Linked DNA regions of Styela clava. The protein of the gene in region 2 binds, or shares a complex with, the protein of the main gene of each other region. Links are inferred from orthologs where the notes say so. Each region holds a gene or a part of one and is shown on either strand. Other genes may lie near its edges.

What was found. The genes of interacting proteins can lie anywhere in the genome.
Region 1: WD repeat-containing protein 20-like (region 2) and ubiquitin carboxyl-terminal hydrolase 46-like share a complex: the UniProt entries of both Drosophila melanogaster proteins name them as parts of the usp12-46 deubiquitylase complex. The link is inferred for Styela clava from reciprocal best matches to the Drosophila melanogaster genes CG6420 and Usp12-46.
Region 3: WD repeat-containing protein 20-like (region 2) and WD repeat-containing protein 48-like share a complex: the UniProt entries of both Drosophila melanogaster proteins name them as parts of the usp12-46 deubiquitylase complex. The link is inferred for Styela clava from reciprocal best matches to the Drosophila melanogaster genes CG6420 and CG9062.

What each region holds. Positions count from the first base shown.
Region 1 is NC_135263.1:19,355,816-19,363,459, forward strand, and holds the start of ubiquitin carboxyl-terminal hydrolase 46-like, read left to right. Parts: upstream 1-4,622; 5' UTR 4,623-4,896; coding exon 4,897-4,923; intron 4,924-5,022; coding exon 5,023-5,103; intron 5,104-6,769; coding exon 6,770-7,001; intron 7,002-7,644. UniProt on the Drosophila melanogaster protein: Catalytic component of the Usp12-46 deubiquitylase complex.
Region 2 is NC_135251.1:17,321,245-17,328,666, forward strand, and holds the start of WD repeat-containing protein 20-like, read right to left. Parts: upstream 3,022-7,422; 5' UTR 2,934-3,021; coding exon 2,808-2,933; intron 31-2,807; coding exon 1-30. UniProt on the Drosophila melanogaster protein: Regulatory component of the Usp12-46 deubiquitylase complex.
Region 3 is NC_135253.1:16,167,882-16,175,057, reverse strand, and holds WD repeat-containing protein 48-like, read left to right. Parts: upstream 1-4,154; coding exon 4,155-6,374; 3' UTR 6,375-6,802; downstream 6,803-7,176. Other genes in the region: general vesicular transport factor p115-like, read left to right, coding at 177-3,125. UniProt on the Drosophila melanogaster protein: Regulatory component of the Usp12-46 deubiquitylase complex. activates deubiquitination by increasing the catalytic turnover without increasing the affinity of deubiquitinating enzymes for the substrate.

The DNA of each region.
Region 1 (7,644 bases), on a different chromosome or scaffold from region 2:
CACGGCGCGTTGGCAGAATCTCATGGTCTAGTGAGAATGACGTCATCGGAAACATCGCGCTCATTAAAATTTCAATGAACGATTATCAAAAATCTTGACCATGTTTATCATGATAAAAATATCAAAAAAGATGTAAAAAATATTCTATCTTTAAAACTGCTCACGTAAACAATGAAAGATATCTAGAAAATTACAAAAAATGCAAATTTCTGCTCTGGTGATCACATTCCCCATAAGAGCTAAGGTTAAAAAAATATTTTTTACATCACTTTTCTTTTTGCGCGTAGGATGGGTTTTTAATGAATAAGGTCTAATGCATAGTTCTTATGTATGTGTTGTAAACTTAAGGTTATTGGATTTCCGGGAACCTCTTATATTCAATTTCGCATCAGAATTGGGGAACAAGCTGTAATGCGTTCAGTATGTTCATTTTCACACAAACCTGAAGAACTTATTTAGTTACCAGATGTGCGCTATGAAACTCATTTTCTGGGCGTTTTCAAGGCTTCGTCTCACGGCCCATATCCGTGGTAAGGATCTACAAGTGTTTAATAACTTACTTGTACATTTTTTAACAACGTCTTAGCATAACTTAACTAATAATATCTAAACAGGGCTATGGAAAGGCTGCTCAACTCAACGCAAGGTCGAGCAGTAATAACTAATATTCATCCGCTCGCTAACAGCTGATTCGATTCAATTGTTACGTCATGCAGAAGTCATTGTTCATTGCCAAAAATGTAGAGAATATAGGACAGATCGTAGCACATATTTCTTGTAGTAAAAGCGTCTTTTCTGTAAAACGTGCAACTTTTGGAAGTGGGAACAAGGCAATATTTGTTACTAAATTTCTAAGGAACATTTTAAAATCATTTTCAGGTAGTTACCTGATGTGCGTTACGAAACTCACTTTCTAGGCGTTTTTCAGGGCCTCGGCTCGCGGCCTAAAACTTAATTTGAATATGGATGATCTATTTGATGAAGTTGCATCTATTCAAAAAATAATTTGGCACGATTCAAAACACTAAACTGTTTACAGAATGCAAAACAGCAAGCAGTAAATGGCACTATATCTTGAAAAGTTTTGATCTTAAGTGTGTTAATGTTGTCAAAATTGTTTCATTTGTGCTCTCAATTCGCGGAACCTCAGCTTATTGGGGACGCATTTTTAGTGTAATGTCATCTAAATTCTAAATGACGCAGTGAAAGGAACAGATGCTCCATACAACTAATGAAAAGTGAGCTTTTAATATGAAAGACACTTGTCGTGACTCGTGAATTTTCAGGAAAAATAAAGCGTGATCCACAATTGCCGAAGTAAGCAAAAAGTCAGAAGAAATATAACAACTGCAAAATTAGAGCTCGTTTGGGTCAATGGACTTTTCCCCGACCCTCGACCCCCGAAAAATTCTTCCTATACTTTATAATTGCAAAATTTTCTGGGTATATTTTAAAAGTGGATTCGCGAGTTGGCGCCTGTAAAATGAAGTATGTGTTTAAACCATCATCGCATACAGCAGTCTGTTTTTTAAAAGTACCGGTAGAGAGTTTTAGCCTAGTCTATCACAGCTATTTCTACACTAATTTTTTATCACTGCAATCAAATTAAAACTCCTAGGAAGAAAGAGTGATCATCAAATTATCTGATTTATATCTAAATTTCCGAAACACAACTGAAAACTAACGAATAGAGTTCAAAAACGCGAAAACGAGGAAATGTTTACGAGCACGCCTGGAAATCTGTCTGAGTGAGAAAAGTGTCTGAGCGGATGCGAAAAGGGAACCTTGTTACGTCACTTTTTGCATCTTGCTGATTGGCCAATGTCACGAAGTAAACAAGGAAGTCGATGCTCGGGGAAGGTCGATGTTAATCAAATATTAAATTAAAAAACACATAAAGATTTTTTTAATATATATATATATCTGTTTAGCTTGTATATAACTTTTATTTCATTGTTTTATATTGTTCTTTCCTGCAAGTTAAAAAAATAAATGTTGAGGGTGATCTATGTCCTTTATTGATACTTTCCATAGTTGGCAACCCTAGTCTCGTGTAGTTTCGTGCCTAACATACTTCTAGTGGGCGTAACATTTTTCATCAAAGCCCATATATACCTGTTTTTCATGTGTCAATCCTAACCCCGAGTCCCTAAACTTATACTTATTATACTCCCGACCTGACTATTCCATCCAAAAATTACGCCACAGTGACGTTATCGAGCCCTTCAAGCTTCAAACTACACGAACTGTCATCCAAGATGCGCAAACGAGCACCCGAAATCAAACAGCTATTTCTCTCGTTTTCTCCGCGCTACGATCCCTATATAAGAGAGAGATTGCTTACTTTAGTCTGTCATTCATCGTCGGCGCCGATGCCATTTCGGGCGATCGTTCGTGTATTTGGCAAGCTCCATGACGTGATTGTGACGTCGTAAGGACTTAATTTTTGTCAGGTGGACCCTAAATAGTTATTAAGAACAAATAAAGTGAAACAAAAACAGATTATAGAATCAGCAGAGCAAACAAAACCTTGAGAAAGGTTTATAGCGTTCTGACTCATTGTAAACTTCAAATTATTTCTGTATTTAGCATTCGGTTACCGCTCCGTACTGCAGAACTGTATTTTTCAAATGAACTGCAGAACTGGGTTTTGGTAAGGCAGTACTGCAGTACTGTGGTGAGGTGAGATTAGATAGCTCTGTTGCTAGTGGGGATATTGTTTTTTTCAGATGCATGTACTTGATTGTGGAAGAAGCGGTGTCCAAATGCGTTTATTTTGCTAAAACACGATTGCAGGATTGTGTCAGACACACTCTGATCAACTTTATTATCATTTTTTCCAACTTGTATGTGTGACTCACTTTTTCATGTGAAACGACCGAGGAGCCTTTTACTGCTGCTCATCAAGTATTTTTATTATTTTTGGATATATTATTTGTGTTACTTATGGTAAATGAGCACGTGCATTGCGCATTATAAACTTTATTCATTAGTTTTGATCTTTTTCTGAGCATTTCTGTTGTTTTGTTCATTTCATCGAGTTTTGTGTTTTCAGAATGCCATAATAAATTGTATCGTATTGTTCCATCACAAACAAAACAACTCGATCCTTGATTTCTAACAAGTGCATGCATGTGGTACAATTTGTATAAAACCTACTGACCAAGCTATTTGCATTGGACGCTGGATAATTCCTTTAAAAATTCACTATTTATCGCCATAAAACTAGGGTTTAAATATGTTCAACTCAAGTATCCTTTAAAAATTCACTATTTATCGCCATAAAACTAGGGTTTAATTATGTTCAACCCAAGAAATTTTGTGCTACTATTTTGATACTTCATAATGGAGCCTCATCTTTAATTGCATCAAGCATTGTTAATAAGCATATCTCCAAACTCGAGCCTGCTTGAGCCGAAATCTCTATTTCGAAACACAGGAACATCTGTGTACCAATATGTGAGAGGATTGATGAACTCTTTGTGGTCACATAAGGATATATTGGTTCTCATTTCTTCTGAGAGTGCAGAAGTGCTCAGCCTTTACAGTAATTACGAGAAGTTATTATATATTATGCAGTCACCTTTGTTTAGGAATATTTTGCATTGCAGCATTAATGCTGGTGTTTGTTAATATTTGGTGAATTAACACAATATATTTATCTTACAAACTTTTAGTTTTGCATGTTTTTTAAGTAGACTATATGACAATATAAAATGTGTACAGTATGCTTTCTTAATACTGTAATAGCGGTCTTACTACTTACTGAATACAGCGCGAAACACCGCAAAGAGCGCAAAACAGCGCGAAACAGCGTAAAACAGCGCAAAACAGAGGGAAACAGCGCAAAACAGTGTGGAAACAGCGCAAAACAGCGCGAAAGAGCGCAAAACAGAGGGAAACAGTGTGAAGCAGAAAAAAATTTTGCAATGAGTTCGGGACACCTTGTTTTGAGTTGGAGTACCACGGCAGCAAATTAAAAACACAAACCAACGTATGTAGCCAGTAATGCTGTAATGGCAGGTCTGCCCCTGCTGGTGACACATTTAGGGTACCATAATTTAGAACATTTTTCATATGGATATGGTTGGCTTTAGGGTTAGGGTTAGGTAAAAAGGGACCTCCAGAAGTATGTGCACCAAGATGGCGCACAACCTGAAAATAGTGTGTGTGTGTGTGTGTGTGTGTGTAGCGGATTCAGGTTGTGCGACATATTGCTGCACATACTTCTGGAGCACCAAAAAGGTAGATAAAATTTCGCATGATGACCTATAATCCGGTACATAACCTTGTAAATATGCCGGAAATAGCGCCATAAAACCATGGCGAGAGGCGCCGTGGTTCTTTCGTGGCAGGAGGTGGTAATGACTGCGTCTCCTGTTTTGCGCTGTTTCCCTCTGTTTTGCGCTGGTTTCCTTCTGTTTCGCGCTGTTTTCCTCTCTTTTGCGCTGTTTCGCGCTCTTTTGCGCTGTTTCGCGCTGTTTTGCGCTCTTTGCGGTGTTTCGCGCTGTATTCAGTAAGTAGTAAGACCCCTGTAATAGTACAGTAATAGATGGTTAATGTGTTGGAACATTAAAAACAGTTGCAGTCGTGAGTCGCCCCTATTGACATCATAGGTTCTGCGAAATATTTGCAAGGCTCTTTCTGTCACATGGTGATTGTAGCAACTATATCTGCTATTGTACATGTGGAACATTAAACTCATTACTTTTGAAAGTAAAACTATGTGCTTCTATATTTTTCTCAATATTCACCAGAACACATGATGTAATGTAATGTAACCATGTAAACCTGTTAACTAATATTTAACAGTCTGACACCTTTTAAAATATTTTGAATTTTTTGATGGAACAAGAGTATATAGCCATAAAATCCTATTACTAGATGTAAGATTTCATGAAGGGGTGTCTTCCAAGCATAATGGTGAGTTTTTTTATCTTTCAGTCTTTGGTTTGATATTACTGATTCGCAATTACACATGATTTATTGTTTCTGATACCAATTATTCAATGCTTTTTACAGGGAGCAAACGCTTCAGCACTTGTCAAAGATATCGGGCCAGAACAATTTCCTCCAAATGAACATTATTTTGGATTCATCAATGTATGTGACATGACTTTTAATTTGATTACTGTAGGAGTTTGGTAGTACTTATCGAAATAGTCTAAGTTTCAACTTACTAGCTTAGTCAAAGTTTGTTACGTAATATTGTCTTCGGTAGAGCGTGTCGTGCTTTGGAGCAACACTGTGAAAGCATGACATCAAAATTTTACTTCAAATCAAAGTGCTTCTGTGCCGAAGTTAAAGCTGTCTCGCGGTCCCCCTAAAATCGCTTCGCAGACCCCTAATCGGCCGCGGACCCTAGTTTGAGAACCAATGGTCTAGTACAGGGGTGTGCAACCTTTTTCACCGGCGGGCCAAATTCAAGTAACTGGGTGGAGCCGCGGGCCGCACCTTTATTTAATATGGACTTTCTCGTAATTACCGTTACAAAAATTGTTTATTTTTGCTAGTTATCTTACGGCAATATTAGGGTTTCTTGCAGAAATAGTGAGTTGAACGCAAACTTGTGTCACTGATATCATTGCTCTCATCCAATGCCAGACTGAAAGCTTCACTCACTTTGCAATGACGGTTAACAACAATTCCTGGCTAGTGAGATAACACATTTTATCTATAAACGTAATCTGCTAGACAGAGCTTATAACTGAACGAGTCTAAACCACAAATCCAAAGAATGCTTACGTCACGTACTGTCATAATCAAATTACTGTTTCTATCTAAGCAATAAAAAGATACACGAGGTCTTAATTAATTAAACTGTCGGATTGGGATTTTATGCTTGATGGGTAAAAATCAAGAGTATTGACAAGGGCCACACTAAATGGCTTGGCGGGCCGGGTTATGGCCCGCGGGCCGCCTGTTGCACACCCCTGGTCTAGTACAATATACAAGACAACTTCATTTTGATCTGATATTTATTCATGATTTCGATAGTCCTAATATAAATTGGCTAATTTTGGTAATGAGATATTCAATGATTTTGTAGATTTAATCAACCAGAATATATAGGATGGGATTTGGGACATATTTGTTCCAGGTGAGAGGAAAACGATAAGTTGGCTTAATCATATGGCGAACCACGGCCTCTCGTTCGGTTACCAGTCCATGTCTGGTATGAGATTAGTAAGCCAGTTATTTGTTTTCGGAAGCATGGACTTGATGGTGGAGGATGCCGCAACCGACTAGCGGTTCCTTGAACCACCCTACAGCGGCGAGAATTGCAGCGATCCTCTAGCACACTGGTTCTCAACCAGTGGGCCATGGCCTACTGCTGGGCCATAGAGACATTTTCAAGTGGGCCACAAGCCTATTACAAACTACTATGGTTATTGGAAAGTTTAATTTCATTTGTCATTATAGTCAAATTTTTATTGTAGTAGCAATGAATGATGCTGCTGCTTTTCATTCTGAGTATTAAAGTGAAAGTATTTATTTTTGCAAAAAGAATCTTGCTTTTCTTGTAGTTTTTCCCTTGCATGAGAAAGTTAGTGGGCCACAGAGTTTTTATGCAACTAAAGTGGGCCACGAAAGAAAAAAGGAGAGTCTAGCACATAACCATTTGCATGGGATTCGAACCTGCTAACTCACGCAGGGTAATCAGAGGTGCAGCGGCGGGTGTATTCCTAACGCTTAGCACAGTGCGCCACACCGCCAAGCCTTTTTTCTGGTTAGAGAGATTGTTCGATTTCAGTTCATTATCTTTCAGTTTGGGAATACTTGTTACTGCAACTCTGTACTACAAGCTCTCTTTTTCTGTCCACCATTCCGAGAAAAAGTTCTTCAGTATCGTCAGCAACTGAATGGAAAGCATGGGGGGAATAAAAAGGAAACATTACTCTCTTGTCTCTGCGATCTTTTCCACAGCATAACAACACAAAAGAAGAAAGTTGGGGTCATACAGCCAAAGAAATTTGTTGCCAAATTGAGAAAAGAAAATGGTGAGACATTATTTGCTCATTAGAAAATGATTTTTTTCGTGTAAATTTTATATTATGCAAGAATGTACCATCTAATGTCACAGTCCATAAATAAGCCTGAATTTTCTTTTTTTATCAATGATTTAATAATACCAGTGAAGAAACTTACTCAATGATAGGGTAGGGTACGTAGTGATTGTTGTAAAAGTAACGTTTGATTGTTGTAAAAGTAACGTTGTAATTACGATACGTCAACAGTGAGCGAATGAGATATTTGACTTTCAAGCTCGAGCGAGGAGAAGCAATTTTGTATTTATGAGAAGAGTGTGCCGCTATTCAGGAGCCATCGTGATTTTATATTTGTTTGGCAGCTCTAACAAATAGACTATTGTTGAATTGTTTGCCCTCATGGCTTTTAGTCAAACATTTCAAACCAAGTTTTATACTAATATTGGGTACTAATGTTCAGTTACACCTATTAACCACTATTTGTTCTGGAATTCCTAGGTATTATGAACGGCTTTGTATGTAAATAGGTAACTACCGGTATATGAGGTATATGCCGGTATATGAGATTGATTATGCTGTGATTTTCTATGATAAGTTTTATATATCTTCAAAACTTAATGCCGCACATACAATAGTATTCGGGATCATAGCAGTT
Region 2 (7,422 bases):
TTTTACAGGAGTTACAGCAGATGGTGGTCCCTGTATAAAAGTCATAAATTCAACACCAGTGCAAACAGACATGTAGTAGTGCTATGTTACTAGGATGTTATTGTCACACCTCTCATTTCTCTGGTCTGTTTTTTGATTCTGCTTATCAAGTTACGATAGACATAGAAAGATGCAACAATAACTTAACCAAAGATATAAACAAATTCCCAAAATTAGTGGCAAGATAGTGCAGTAGGATTATATCAATGGCAGTTGGTTATTACTGAAAAGAACAAATCGAGTAAACTAGAACTTAGCCAAGGTGATATTTAGATATTGCCCCTGACATGTGACAGATTGTTGCTGTTGGAGTCATCAAGAAAACTATCAGAAAAGCCAGAAGTGTGAAAGAAACCAAGGCAGCAGCAAAGCCCAATAAAAAAAACGAAAAGAAGCATCTAGCGCCCATCAACAATCTAAACCAGAAAATATCTACCGGTATTATATTAGTCCCCAACGGTGACCGTACATTTGAACCCATGTACATTTGAACCCATGCGTATATCCACGGGTTCAATCTATATGCGGGTGCTAAAACCCATGGGTTAGGGTTAGTATGGGTTTAACTATCCGTGAAACAAAAAAAATTCCATAGGTGCAATAGCATACAGGTGCAATTGTCATGGGTTCAAATGTACGTGGGTTCAAATGTAATGGAACCGTCCCCAACACAACTTAAACTAAGTACATATGTACTCCACATTTTCAATTAACAAAAGCAAAATTGAAGATAACTCTGGATTATAAAAGTAGGTTAGTCTAAGCATCAAGTCCCTAGCGCCACTTTTTGTCTCTTTCCAATAATGCCTAAAGACTATGTTGATTACAATTATGCTGGCAATAGGTTCCTTTTTGCAATATCCATTGAAGATATATTGAATCAGGTTATATGACCAATATTAGGACAGAATATACGAAATTGATGAATTGGAATTTGTCAGAAAAAAATTGCTTTAGTGAGAAGCAACCCGGAGACGGTTGAAAATTTTGGATGATGTTTCAATCCTGGCTTGCCGGTTGATGCATCATTTCAAGCATTACCGTCAGAAATACACATGCCATTGAAAGCATAGGGAACAATTTTATGCGACATAATTGCCAGCTCGTCGTTTTGGGGAGGTTCCCGCAACCCTGTAACCATTGGTCAGTAACAGGTTTTTTCTCCATGAAATTTATGGGTCTGAAACAAATAATTGATGAACTACACTCATACCCGCCATGGACTGCAACTTCTTCCACTAGCTGAGTACAGTAACATGGAGAAAGCATACCATATCCTAATATTGAGGATTGAATTGATTTAATATTCCCATACTTCAATTAGACTATCCAATGCCTTATTATAATATTACTGTATTATTACCTTTTTGCCAATTAAATCCCAATGCCAAACAGAATTTTTGTAAACTAATTGATATTCAGTATGAATTGAGACCAAATTCAATGAAAAGAGGTTGGGTTGTATTACTATTGGGGTCTGGTATAGTTTAGTACCACAAGTACTTCTGGTGGGCGCAGCATAACGAATTTTGCATATGTTATTCCTAACTATTCCTAACCTGACTATGTCATCTAAAAATTACTTCACTACGACCTCACAACACGTCATAGAGCTTGCAAATGTATAGCTACGATCGCCCAAAATGGCATTCGCACCAACCATACGAACTCTCTAACGCCAGCAGTTACTCTAATATCGGGATCGTTGCGTCGAGAAAACAAGAGAAATAGCTTGCTCGATTTCAGGTGATCGCCGACCCGTTTTGGACGACCATTCGTACACTTCAAAGGTCTAAACGTCCTCAAGTGACGTAATTTTTTAGTGAAGTAGTCAGGTGGGGGTTAGGAATGACATATGCAAAAATTGTTGAGCCAGGCTAATTAGAAGTAGGGTGGCTTAGTCACTTTGCGGCCATCGACTTCACGACCATCGACTTCATCGATTAAATTAATGTCGAAAAAATTAACAAACAGCGTGGATATTTCTCACGCGTTAACGTCCACTTATCCCCCGCAGCTCTGCGAGATTACACTAAAATGCGGCCACAAACGAAAAAGTTAAGACCGAAAACCGGACCATTTTTTCATGTTGCCGACTACCCATTGTCTCTCTGAAAAAGAGAGATAAAAAGATGAAACTTGGCAGGTGGGTAGAGTTGTGTTTCTTTTAACCATCTTTAAAGTTTCGCGTTTCTACATTTAAAGGAGGGGGAATAGGGGGGTGCACATTTCCAATACGTCAATATTATCTTTGCTGACCAATTTGTTTTTGTCTGTTTGATTGCTGTGATGCGGTGCTTTGTTTATAATTTGACGAGTTTTGTTCGAAATAAACGTGTTCTTAAAATATATGACGGTCAGAAATGCAGTTAAAAGCCCAAGTTTTTCACGCATGGCCCTAGTCTCGAAGCAGCAGAAACGATGTTCAAGGCTTGAAATCCGTGGTCGAAGACTAGTCGTTTGGTCGCAAATACGTCTTCAGAGTGTCGTACTTTGGTGGTTTGTATAGCTTTAACCTCTCGTCGTAGAAAGTTAATTCGAGGTTTAGTGTGTAAAATAAATGCCAATGCACCTACGATGAAAAAATTGGCGGGTTGGAATTATTGGTTTTTGTTTTATAGCGGTTTGAATGAAATCGTCCCCAGACAGGCTACACCACCCTATATGTTGCACTAAACTATACCAGACCCTTACTATTGTACCATAACTCTGCACAGTACAGCAGTACAGTGTCTAGGATAACGACAAAATCTTATCTTAGCACTCACCTGCGCAGTGTATGGAACTCTGTTTGGTCTGCAGTATTCAAAGTTTGGCATTTGCTTGTAAGTTCCCTCTCTGGTGGTAAACCGTGACCTGATATCCAACTCCCTGCCCCCTCCGTCCAATGCCATGGCCGAAATAAAAGGGCGAAACGGCCACAAAATAGTTTGCAAAAATGCGACTCCACTGTCTTTCGGGCGAATTTAATCAACAACAAGGATGCAACCCAAATAATATTGGTCCAGCAATGCCCCCAGTGGTCACATATTCATTATATTTATTTCTTTATCAACCACACGGTGGGGTTGGGTAATTTTTGCTTTTATGATAAATTTTCCAGACTGTTTTGCTGATTTCGATTTAAATTATTCGACCATTTTTTAGCTTAATTTATGTTTTGATTTATGTTCGTTTCCTTCGCAGTGCGCCGTACTAAGCGCCAGGAAGCCCACCACCAAGTCAGGCATCTGAAACAAATAACTGGCCAACCCCATACCGACGCGGACTGGTAATCGTACGAGAGGCCATGGTACGCCATTTGAATACGCCGTATTATCGGCTTTACTCTTCGCCGAAATTAAAATGACATCTTATTCTTTTCTTCAACAGACTTCGAGTTGAACCTCCGCTAGTAAAAGTTTCTAAGTGATTTTCCACTACTACGGGTAAGATTACTGTACTGACTACCGCAATACGTGAATAACGAAGGTTAAAAGTATTGCATTGATGAGGTACAGTGATGGATTAACCATTAAACAGAAAAAGCACTTGTTTAGGGCACCAGATATTTCCGCGACCTGCGCGATCTGCAATAGAATCCCAAGAAATGCATGTATGATGGAATGGAAACTGATTGACCATAGCTTACCTTGCATTGATTGCTTTTATTTCATCAGAATCCGGTGGAATATGACGTGTGGCCGCGCGTAGTATCAGAGCGTACATCACAATACAGGTACAATATACTGATTTTTATCTTTAGTGCCTGCGATGGTATGTTTTACCTATCATTCTTAACACATATTTTTAGTGTGTATACTGTATGATATCGTTTCAATATGTAAAAGAACTAAACGCCGCGTCAATTTTAATCTGATATGTTTTCTAAATTTAGAAACAGTAAACCAGAGATAAGACGGTCAGTACAAGAGCCAGAAAGAATCAAATTGATAAACCTCCGTCCAGTCTTTTAGTATTCCTCTAATGACGGTCATAAATTTAGTTTGCAGACTCAATTCTTCGAATTATCCTATGCATCTTGTTGCCATGATTGCATGGTAAAGCATTTTTCGTGTAAAAAATGTAGGCTACTACAAATTTAAAGAGGTACCTGCTTCGAATCAACGCAGTATGTTTGTTATTTTGTCGGGGTAATTTTTTTGAGGGTAGCGGTAGCGTCAAGGGTAAGAACTGCTTCACCATGTGTAACGTGTTCATATATTTGAGTATTGCTTTGGTGTAATTGTAAATGTAAGTGTAATTTGATATTTTTTGCACGGAGTAAATGTAATGTAATTGAAAAGTTTAAGGGAGAAATTGTAATTGAACTGAAATAATGTAATTGATCCAACTCTGGCCGCGAGCAAGCGAAAACAGCAACCAAGGGTAGCAGAGATGCAGAGGATATAGGAACTAGAGAAGAGAAGCCAAGGGGAGCATAGATGCAGAGGATATAGGAACTAGAGAAGGGAGCCAACGTGCAAGCGAAACAGCAACCGGGGGGAGCAGAAATGCAGAAAAAATATGAACCAGAAGCCAAGGGGAGCAGAGATGCAGAGGATATAAGAACTAGAGAAGAGAATCCAAGAAGGGAGCCAATACGAGGACAACCAAGGGCAGAGGATATATGTACTAGAGAAGAAAAGCCAAGGGGAGCAGAGATACAGAGGATATAGGAACTAGAGAAGGGAGCCAACAGCAAGCAAAATGGCAACCGAGGGGAGCAGAAATGCAGAGCAGCTATGAACCCTGACAAGCCTGACCAGCCGCCAAGGGAATATACGCCAGCTGTGCAGTCAAAATTAAAGAAAAGCTGAGAATGAGCAAGAAAAGAAGAGTGGCAAGTCCAAGGAGATCAGCGATAAAACGGCTAATACAAATCGGCAGCGAAGCTGGCTAGTGCGAGTGGAAGAAGGTCCAGGAGATCAGCGATCAGGGGTAAAACGGCTAATACAAATCGGCGCCGACGATTTCTAGTGCGAGTGGGAAAAGGTCCAAGGAGAGCAGCGATCGGGGGTAAAACGGACAATACAAATCGGCAGCGAAACTGTATGGTGCGATTGGAAGAAGGTTCAAGGAGATCAGCAATCAGGGGTAAAACGGCTAATACAAATCGGCGGCGAAGCTGTCTAGTGCGAGGGGAAGAAGGTCCAAGGAGATCAGCGATCAGGGATAAAACGGATAATACATATCGGCAGCAAAGCTGTCTAGTGCAAGTGGAAGAAGGTCCAGGGAGATCAGCGATCAGGGGTAAAACGAATAAAACAAATCGGTAGCGAAGCTGTCTAGTACGACAATCAAGCATCAAAATAAAAATATGACGAGTGTGAAAGAATACAAATAAAAAAAGGCAGCAGGGTCCAGGGGGATCATGAGTAAAAACGGAGCGATAATAGAAATCGGCAAATAGACACGAGGGAATAATATAGATCAGCAAGGCTGTGTTGGTGGGGGAGTAAAAACTAAAAATAAAAATAAGAAAAAGTGCAGCAGGGTAGAAAAAGAAAATATAATTGGCGAAAAATATACGTGAGGGAAATTAGGGAGGCCGAACAAAAATTACGATAAAAAATATCAAAGCGCTGGTGGGAGCGAAAGTAAGCCGCAGTAGAAGGCGAAATAATTAAACAGGGAGTGCAGAATAATAGAAATGAGCGAGGCGGCAATCAAAAAGCAACAAAAAAGTCCAGGGTAAATAAATAAAGGAAGTCAGGGAGAGCCGCGAAAGAAATTGAGATGGAAGAAGTGTGAAAAAGGCTGTGTGAGTGAAAGTAGGATGGAAAATAAGAAAAAATGGGAATCAGCGAGGCCAAGAAAAATAAATTAAGATAGTGAATGGAATGAAAGAAAATAGGGAAGAGGGGAAGAATGGAAAATAAATAAATATAAATGAGCTAAAGATGGTAGGGAGGTAGGAAATAAATGAAAAAGGGAAAGCATCGTACTGATCGTAGTCAATACGAGGAAAAAATAAAAGATTTATTTATATTAGAGCAAAGGTGGAAACCGATCATAAAAATGAAGAATAAAGCCAGCGCTATAGTAAAGAATACTCGGGGTGGAAATAGAAACAATGAGACCCCAAGGGAAAAAGAAAGATATAATATAATAATGAGTAGCCGTCAGGACGTAGGAAATAACTTAAAAAGAAAGCATCGTAGTAAATACAAGGAAAAAATAAAAGATATTATATTAAAGCAAGCAAGTTGTAAGGTGAAAACCGTTCATAAAAATGAAGAATAAAGCCAGCGCTATAGTGAAGAATGTGGGTGAAAATAGAAACAATGAGGCCCCAAGGGGTAAAAAAGATGGAATGTGAAAGAAAATAAAAAATTATCGAGGCTGGCTGGAGCAACAAGAAACTGGATTCTCTACAAAAATTATGCAAAAGTAACACGTTTGCTCATAACAAAAATAAAACAAGTGTAGGAGATTTGTTTTCTATAACCTAAAAAAGATTAATAACCAGTTTGCCATGTTGTAATAAAATTCCTTGGATGGGGAAAGATCGGCCAACCAGAATCTCCACATATGAAAAGAAAACAAGGGAGCGAAGTTCAAATATATGGTCACGAAAGCCAAAACAAAATATTTCACTCACAATTTCTCAAAACTATACCCTGAAGGAAGCTTGAACTATGTGACGGTGGACCCACAAATCTGGTAACCGTCATATAGTTCAAGCTTCCTTCAGGGTATAGTTTTGAGAAATTGTGAGTGAAATATTTTGTTTTGGCTTTCGTGACCATATATTTGAACTTTGCACATCTACTACCAAAATTTTCGAGACCAAATTTGCACTATCATAGACCGAATGCGGATCGGTGATTGTCTATCAGTAGTTCTCAAACTTTTTAAGCCGCGCCCCCTTTTAGGATTTGTCAAGTCTCGCGCCTCACCTTAAAAATAACTAGCCAACAATAAGCTACAAATAACATATAGTAAGGCCGAAGTAGCCTATGTTTCATTTAAAAACACGTTGAAAATACGTAAACAAAGCGTAAATATCCCAAATGAAGCAACTAAATATCCAATATATAGCGGGCAAAATCAAATTTGACAAATGTTTACATCAAACAATATAGAGGCACTGTCGTAACCCGCTGTTTCTGCTAATGTTGGTTCAAAGACAAAACTCTTGGAATTTAAATTTCATTCCAAAAAACTACCGAAATTTTTACTGAACACTTGCTCTTGGTAAAAATGACTAGTTGTTGGATTTCGTGTGGACAACTGCGACACGAACTTGGGAGTAAAGAGACACACGATGCTTTCCTCGGAACAGAAATAAACCACAAAATAGTATTCCCGACATAGGGTGTGCTGCTCACAACTGCATCTAGCACACCGTGAATACCTTGCGCCCATTCGCGTTGGAAGCCTTGACATAATGCTAGCAGA
Region 3 (7,176 bases), on a different chromosome or scaffold from region 2:
CAAGTGCCATATTGCCCACCAAAACATACACTCGCAGACTTGTTTGACTGCTATAAAAACTTCTGGGGAATGGAAGCATTGGACCAATACCCCAAATCCAGTAAAAAAATAGTCAAAACCACTAACTATTTCATTTTCTTTTTTCATAAATAGATATCAATAAACAGCATTACAAAATGAATTATTTTAAATCATTTGTGAAAGGCAGTGATGAGCAACAGCCGAGTGGAGCAGAAACCGTATCAAGACTTTGTGATCGTGTTGCATCATCTACGCTCCTTGAAGATCGTCGAGATGCTGTTCGTGCATTAAAATCATTGTCGAGAAAGTTTAGATATGAAGTTGGCACACAGGGAATGGCTCATATTGCTACTGTTTTAGATCAAGACGCAAATGATGATGAAATGGTGGCATACGCACTCGATACATTATGCAATCTTATGTCTGATATGGAAGAAGATGATGACGTAGTTCCGCAACCTGAATTAACTCGTACATTTGTCGAAAAATTTACCGCAGAAGAGAATAATATAAATGTGGTATTAGATTTCGTTGAGCGATATGATTTTAGTGTTCGACTCTCCGCACTACGGCTTATGATTTCATTACTGAAAGGTCAACCTGGTAAAATACAAGAAACTGTGCTTATGAAACCCATGGGTATATCTCGACTAATCGATTTATTGACCGATTCAAGAGAGGTCATTCGAAATGATGCGTTATTGTTGCTCATAGAACTGACGCGTGGAAATTCCAACATTCAAAAAATTATTGCTTTTGAAAATGGCTTTGATATTATTTTGGATATAATAAGGGCAGAAGGGATGAGTGATGGTGGAGTTGTAGTAGAAGATTGCCTTTTGTTGTTACTACATTTACTAAAGAGAAACACATCAAACCAGCAATTTTTCAAAGAAGGTTCATTTGTGCAGCGTTTGACACCATTTTTTGAAATTGATTCAGAGTCTGTATGGTCTGCACAAAAAGTTGCGAATTTGCATCTCATGCTGAAACTTGTAAGAACGTTGGTTGCACCTTCAAATCCATCGAATGTGACATCTTCTTGCCAGCTTGTAATGCAGCAATGTGGATTACTAGAGAGGCTGTGTAATATGTTGATGGCCACTGGTGTCCCGGCAGATATTTTAACAGAAACTATCAATACTGTTTCGGAAGTTATTAGGGGATGTGAAGCTAACCAAGCTATGTTTGAATCTGTTCATGCACCTTGTGAGCCCCCTCGTCCAGCGATTGTTGTTTTGTTGATGTCAATGGTCAATGACAAACAGCCTTTTGAATTACGGTGTGCTGTTTTGTATTGCTTCCAATGCTTTTTACATGTTAACCCAGCAGGACAGACAAAAATTGTCAACACATTACTGCCTTCCTCACTTCAGTCACAACAAATTTCTGCCGGTCAGCTGCTTTGTGGAGGATTATTTGCTGCTTCTGATCCACTGTCTAATTGGTGTTCTGCTGTCGCGCTTTCACATGCATTAAATCGTAATACCGAAATGAAACAGCAACTGTTACGAGTGCAACTCGCGACAAGTGTAGGAAATCCACCTATATCTTTGCTGCAGCAAATTACAAATATAGTTAGGCAATCAACGAGCATCCAAAGTCGAATGGGTCTACTTATTCTATTGTGCAGTTGGCTTTCTGGTTGTCCAATTGCTGTTTCCCATTTATTACATGATTCAGATGCTGTTCCTTTCCTTTTGAGCCAAATAGCCGAGCACGGAAATGAATTGGACCACGTTTTGCATGGAGTATGTGCTCTTTTGCTAGGAATATGCATTGTTGATAATGATGGTTCAGTTCCTCAATGCACGAAAGAGTCACTCATTGAGTTAATTGTAGCAAGAGTAGGAATTGAAAGATTTTGTGACTCTCTCGGAGCAGTTACAAAACATGATCTGTATTCTAAAGCGTTTCAACGTTCTCAACCTGTTGCACCATCTTCAGATGATATGTTGTTCGATCATAATTTTACTAAATTGTTCAAAACTTTGGAAGATAATATTATAAAAATGGTTTCAAATTTAGAGGATGTCAAGAAAGAGGAAGAATCAAAAGCCGCCATCAAGGCCCATGATTCTATCATAAAGGAATATCAGGCTCTAATAAGAAGTCAAGATACAGATTTAAAAGAATTGAGATCTCGTGTTTCCAGTCTTGAATCTGAATTATCACAAACAAAGGAAAACTTGGATGAACGCACAGCACAAGTTCAGCAATTAAAAGATCAATATAACGTATTGAAAACCATGCATGATTCTTCATCTGGGGATGGTGTCAGCGATGCTGCCGAGTTATTGTCATCTTTGAATGTGCAAATTGAGGAACTGAAGCAAGAAAATGCAGAAAAAAATGCAAAATTACAAGAAAAAGAAAATTCTATTCAACAGTTACGTAATGATCTTGATGGTTTAGAACTTCGTTCTCTGCAACTCTCGTCCTCTGATGAAACTCAACAAAACAACAATCAACAAAGCAATACTAACATACCAGATGACAGTATACATGCCATCAATGTGCCTGATGATTCGAGACTACAAGAACATAGATTAGTACAACTCACAAATGAAGTTGATTCATTACGATCCCAACTTCAAGCGAAGGATGAAGAAATTTCTAGGTTGTTATCAGAAGGTGCACGCTCTCAAAACACAACTGATGAAGTGTATGATGTACTTGTTTCTGAGAAGACGTCAATGCAAACAAAGATTCATGATCTTGAATCCAGATTGAATGTTACCAGCCAAGAAAACCTCACACTTCAGGATAAAATCTCAACACTTGAGGAAAAACTCTCCAATTTACAGAGTAAAGAAGAATCTCTTGTACAACAAGTTACCGATGCAAACTCCAAGGCAGAAGAGGCAAAAGCACAAGCTGAAGATTTCAAAAAAGAGCAAGAAGATTTGCTTATTCTTTTATCAGACCAGGAGACAAAGCTAGAATCTTATAAAACTAAAATTAAGACTCTAGGTGGGGAAATATCAGATGAAGATGATGATGAAGAAGAAGAGGATGATGAGGAAGATGAAGATGTTATAGAATCCTTAAAGCAAAATTCTCAACCTGGAGACACTAATGGTGTTAACACCCACCCAGAATAATGTCAAAAATAATTCTTGAAAATATTTTTATTCCATATTAGTACAAATTCTATTTAGACTGCTGTACATGTCTCACTGCTTTAAATCTCAGAATGGAATGCTATGTAATATTATGTAAATTTCATACAGATTTGTATAAGAGAATTTGAAGGAATTCTAGATTTACTGCTTGTATGTCCATGCATACGATAGGCTTCCTGTACAGTTAGGACTCCTTTTCAGCTATTTTTATATTGAATATATCTTTAAGATACTTTTTTTTGCTGCTCCACTCATAGGAATGTTATGGATTAATTGCGCATTCCTCACGATAATAATCATTTATGGAGAAGGATTGTAGAATATGAAAGTAGAAACACTCTGATAGGTCTGATAATATTATGAATTATGATGATAATCATTTTACAAGAACATTGGGGCTTTCTATGAAATTTTTAGATTCAAATTTCTCCAAGGCAATGTATTATATTTTTCATGTCATACTTAAGCATACTTTTATCTAATATTGTATGCTGTTGTATCATATTATAGGTATTATCTATAATGAAAAGTAATGTTGTGGTATTTTCTTATAGTTTTATTTTTTGCTTATGTACAAATATTTATATCACATGATTTGGTCATATTTGAATAGGACGTTCTGTTCATTCTGAGGGCAAATAGGTGCATGAGATCTTGCCTAGGTATGTCATATGGCCCAATTTGTATCATTCAGTGCATGATAAGTTTTTATAAGTTTGATCTGAAACCTTGTATTATCAAATACTCACTCCGTGATTATCTACTTCTGAGTCTATTTTTCTGTGTATAAGATATGGCCTCTGCAATCATTAGTTTTTTGTGCAATTACGACCAGTTAATGGATGGCTGTAACTCGGGTCCAATATCTTGAATGCTTTCATAAAATAAAAGGTATTGCTGTTTTATTATTTACCGGTGATGTGATATCTGTTATTTCAGAAAAATCTTCTAGAATGAATTAGATTAAGATTTTTAATGTAAAGAGACTTCAATTTGATGTTATAAAAAATGGCAATGCATCAACGTCGAGATCCATCGTTATCACGGAAAAAGATTCAGGTGTCGTATATCATTCGTGATAAAGTGGAAATGCTGAATCGCTCTGGTATTAATGCTCTACAATATGATCCTGTTGCAAATCGTTTATTCACTGCTGGAAGAGATTCAATTATCAGAATGTGGGATTGTGAGTCTGCTCAAAAAGAAATGGATAATTCTAAAAAACATGGAAAAATGAACAGAGGTTCTTATGAAGCATCAATGGAACATCACACTGACTGGGTAAATGATATTGTACTTTGTTGCAACAACCGAACTTTGATTTCTGCATCTTCTGACACAACTGTAAAGGTTTGGAACGCCCATCGAGGGTATTGTATGTCTACATTACGTACACATAAGGATTATGTGAGAGCATTAGCATATGCAAGACATCGCGAACATGTCGCGAGTGCTGGCCTCGACAGACAAATATTTATATGGGATGTTAATACATTAACAGCTCTTACTACAGCTCGGAATACTGTTACAACATCTAATGTGAATGGTTGTAAGCAGTCAATATACAGCTTAGCAATGAATGCTGCAGGGACTGTTATGGTCGCAGGTTCGACAGAAAGAGTTCTTCGAGTCTGGGACCCACGTACATGTGATAAAAAAATGAAATTGAAAGGACATACAGATAATGTTAAAGCACTTTTGGTGAATAGAGATGGTACACAAGTATTATCTGGTAGCTCAGATGGCACAATACGTCTGTGGTCTCTCGGGCAACAGAGATGTATTCTTACAATGCATATACACAGTGAGGGAGTGTGGGCTCTCGCTGCTGCGGAAGGTGACAATGCTTCATCTTTCACCAAAATTTATTCATCTGGGAGAGACAGAAGGGTTGTGTGCACTGATTTATGTGATCCAGATGCCTCGAAATACGTCGTTTGTGAAGAAAATGCTCCTGTGTTGAAACTACTGGTGAATTCTCGAGAAAATACGAATGAGATTTTTGTCGCAACAACTAGTTCCGCAGTCAATGTTTGGCCATTGAAGGGGCAATCAGATATAAATGGAGCTTCCACAGGTGGATCATTTGATGAGGTGATGTCTGAAGAGGAGTTTTTGACTACAACACAGCCCGAGTTTACGCAACCTTCATATACATTCCCTGGTGAAGCAAGTATTTTTCATTACAAAATATTATCAGATAAAAGACATATATTGACAAAGGACACTGACAATAATATAGCATTATGGGATGTACTCATTGCAAGAAAATTAGAAGATCTTGCAGAAAAGGATTTCGAAGCCGAAGTTAAAAAAAGAGAAAAAATGCTTTATGTTCCAAATTGGTTTAGTGTCGATTTAAAACTCGGCATGTTGAGTATACATTTAGAAGAACCTGACTGTTTTTCTGCCTGGGTTACAGCAAAAGATGTAGCGGGATTTGAAAATTCAGATCCCAGTACCAAGCTTAATTATGGTGGTTTGTTGCTGCAGGCATTGCTGGAACATTGGCCAAGTACACATTTACACATAGAAGACACGTCGGAAAATGACAGTGATGAGAAGAATGATAGAGAAGGTGAACGTTCACCGAGCCACAAACAAAGACCTCATAAAATTATTAAGGGAAATAGATATTTTTCAGTCCCTGGCCACACTCCAGTAATATTTAGTGAAGTAGGTGGTCGTACATTGTTTCGCTTACTCTGTCGAGATGCTGCAGGGGAATCGGAGTCTATGTTATTGCGAGACACTGTTCCACAGTGGGTAGTTGATACTGCTGTTGAGAAAAAGATACCCACAAAGTTTGTTAAAATTCCATTTTATTTGCATCCGCATCCTAACTCATCAATAAAAAATCTCAAAAAGGATAGATTGTCTGCAAGTGACATGCTCTCAATACGTAAAGTAATGGAGCATGTATATGAGAAAGTCTTATGTTTGGAAGAGGATTCAACTCAAACATCATCAAGCACGCCGACAGCATCTCCAACTGCAAATGCAGATAAACATGATACTTCAAGCAATAGTAAGAAGTCTACCCCAACTGGTAACACTGATGCTGCTAAGACTGATATAGATAAATCATCTGTGATTATGGACAAAGTTGTGCTGTTATGCCAGGAGCAAGTTCTCGATCCATCATTAGATCTGCGTACTGTGAAACATTTAATTTGGAAATCAAGCAGTGATATGATTTTGCATTATAAGCTTCAACCTATTCCATAACACCCATTTGCAGTAGAAATTTAATTTATATCACTTCATTTTCATTACTTTTCTTATATTTTATTTATATTGTGCTAATGACAGGCAAATCCAAGAAAAGCTATAGAATAATGGCCTTTATATGACAATGGACCAGTGTTCCCCTCCAAGCCTTCAATTTTCGATGCTTATTATCATTATTACTAAATCCTGAAGATGAGATGTAAATTCAGGAATTATAATATTCGGATAATACTAGTAAATTATCTACGGCATAGATTCGTGTTTTGAGTACAGTCCTTCTCGACCCATGGCCAATACCGCATGATGATTTCTGCTTTATCCTGTGGACCAAGTCTATGAATACTGAATATGTAGGACAGCAATGATGACTGTTTATCAGGTTCCTAATCGTTATTAATATTTTAAAATAAATATGGAATCATACATATGGCATATTTTATAATATAGCACATTTGTTGTCGTCTTGTGGCAAACTTGAAACCGAAGCGGCAGACGGCAGAATTACAAATCGAAAAGTTCCCTATATTCGGCGGTGTGGCGCATCGTGCTAAGCGTTGGGAATACGCTCGCCACCGAAGCTCTGATTATCCTTCGTGGGATCGCATGCGGGGGTGATCATGTGCGAGAGGATTCCTGGACTCCTCGCCGCCGTAGGGTGGTTCACGTAACCGCTGGTCGGTTACGGCTTCCTCCACCATCAAGTCCATGCTTCCGAAAACAAATGACTGGCTAACTAATCCCATACCTGACCTGGACTGGTAACCGGACGAGAGGCCGTGGTTCGCCATATGATTAAGCC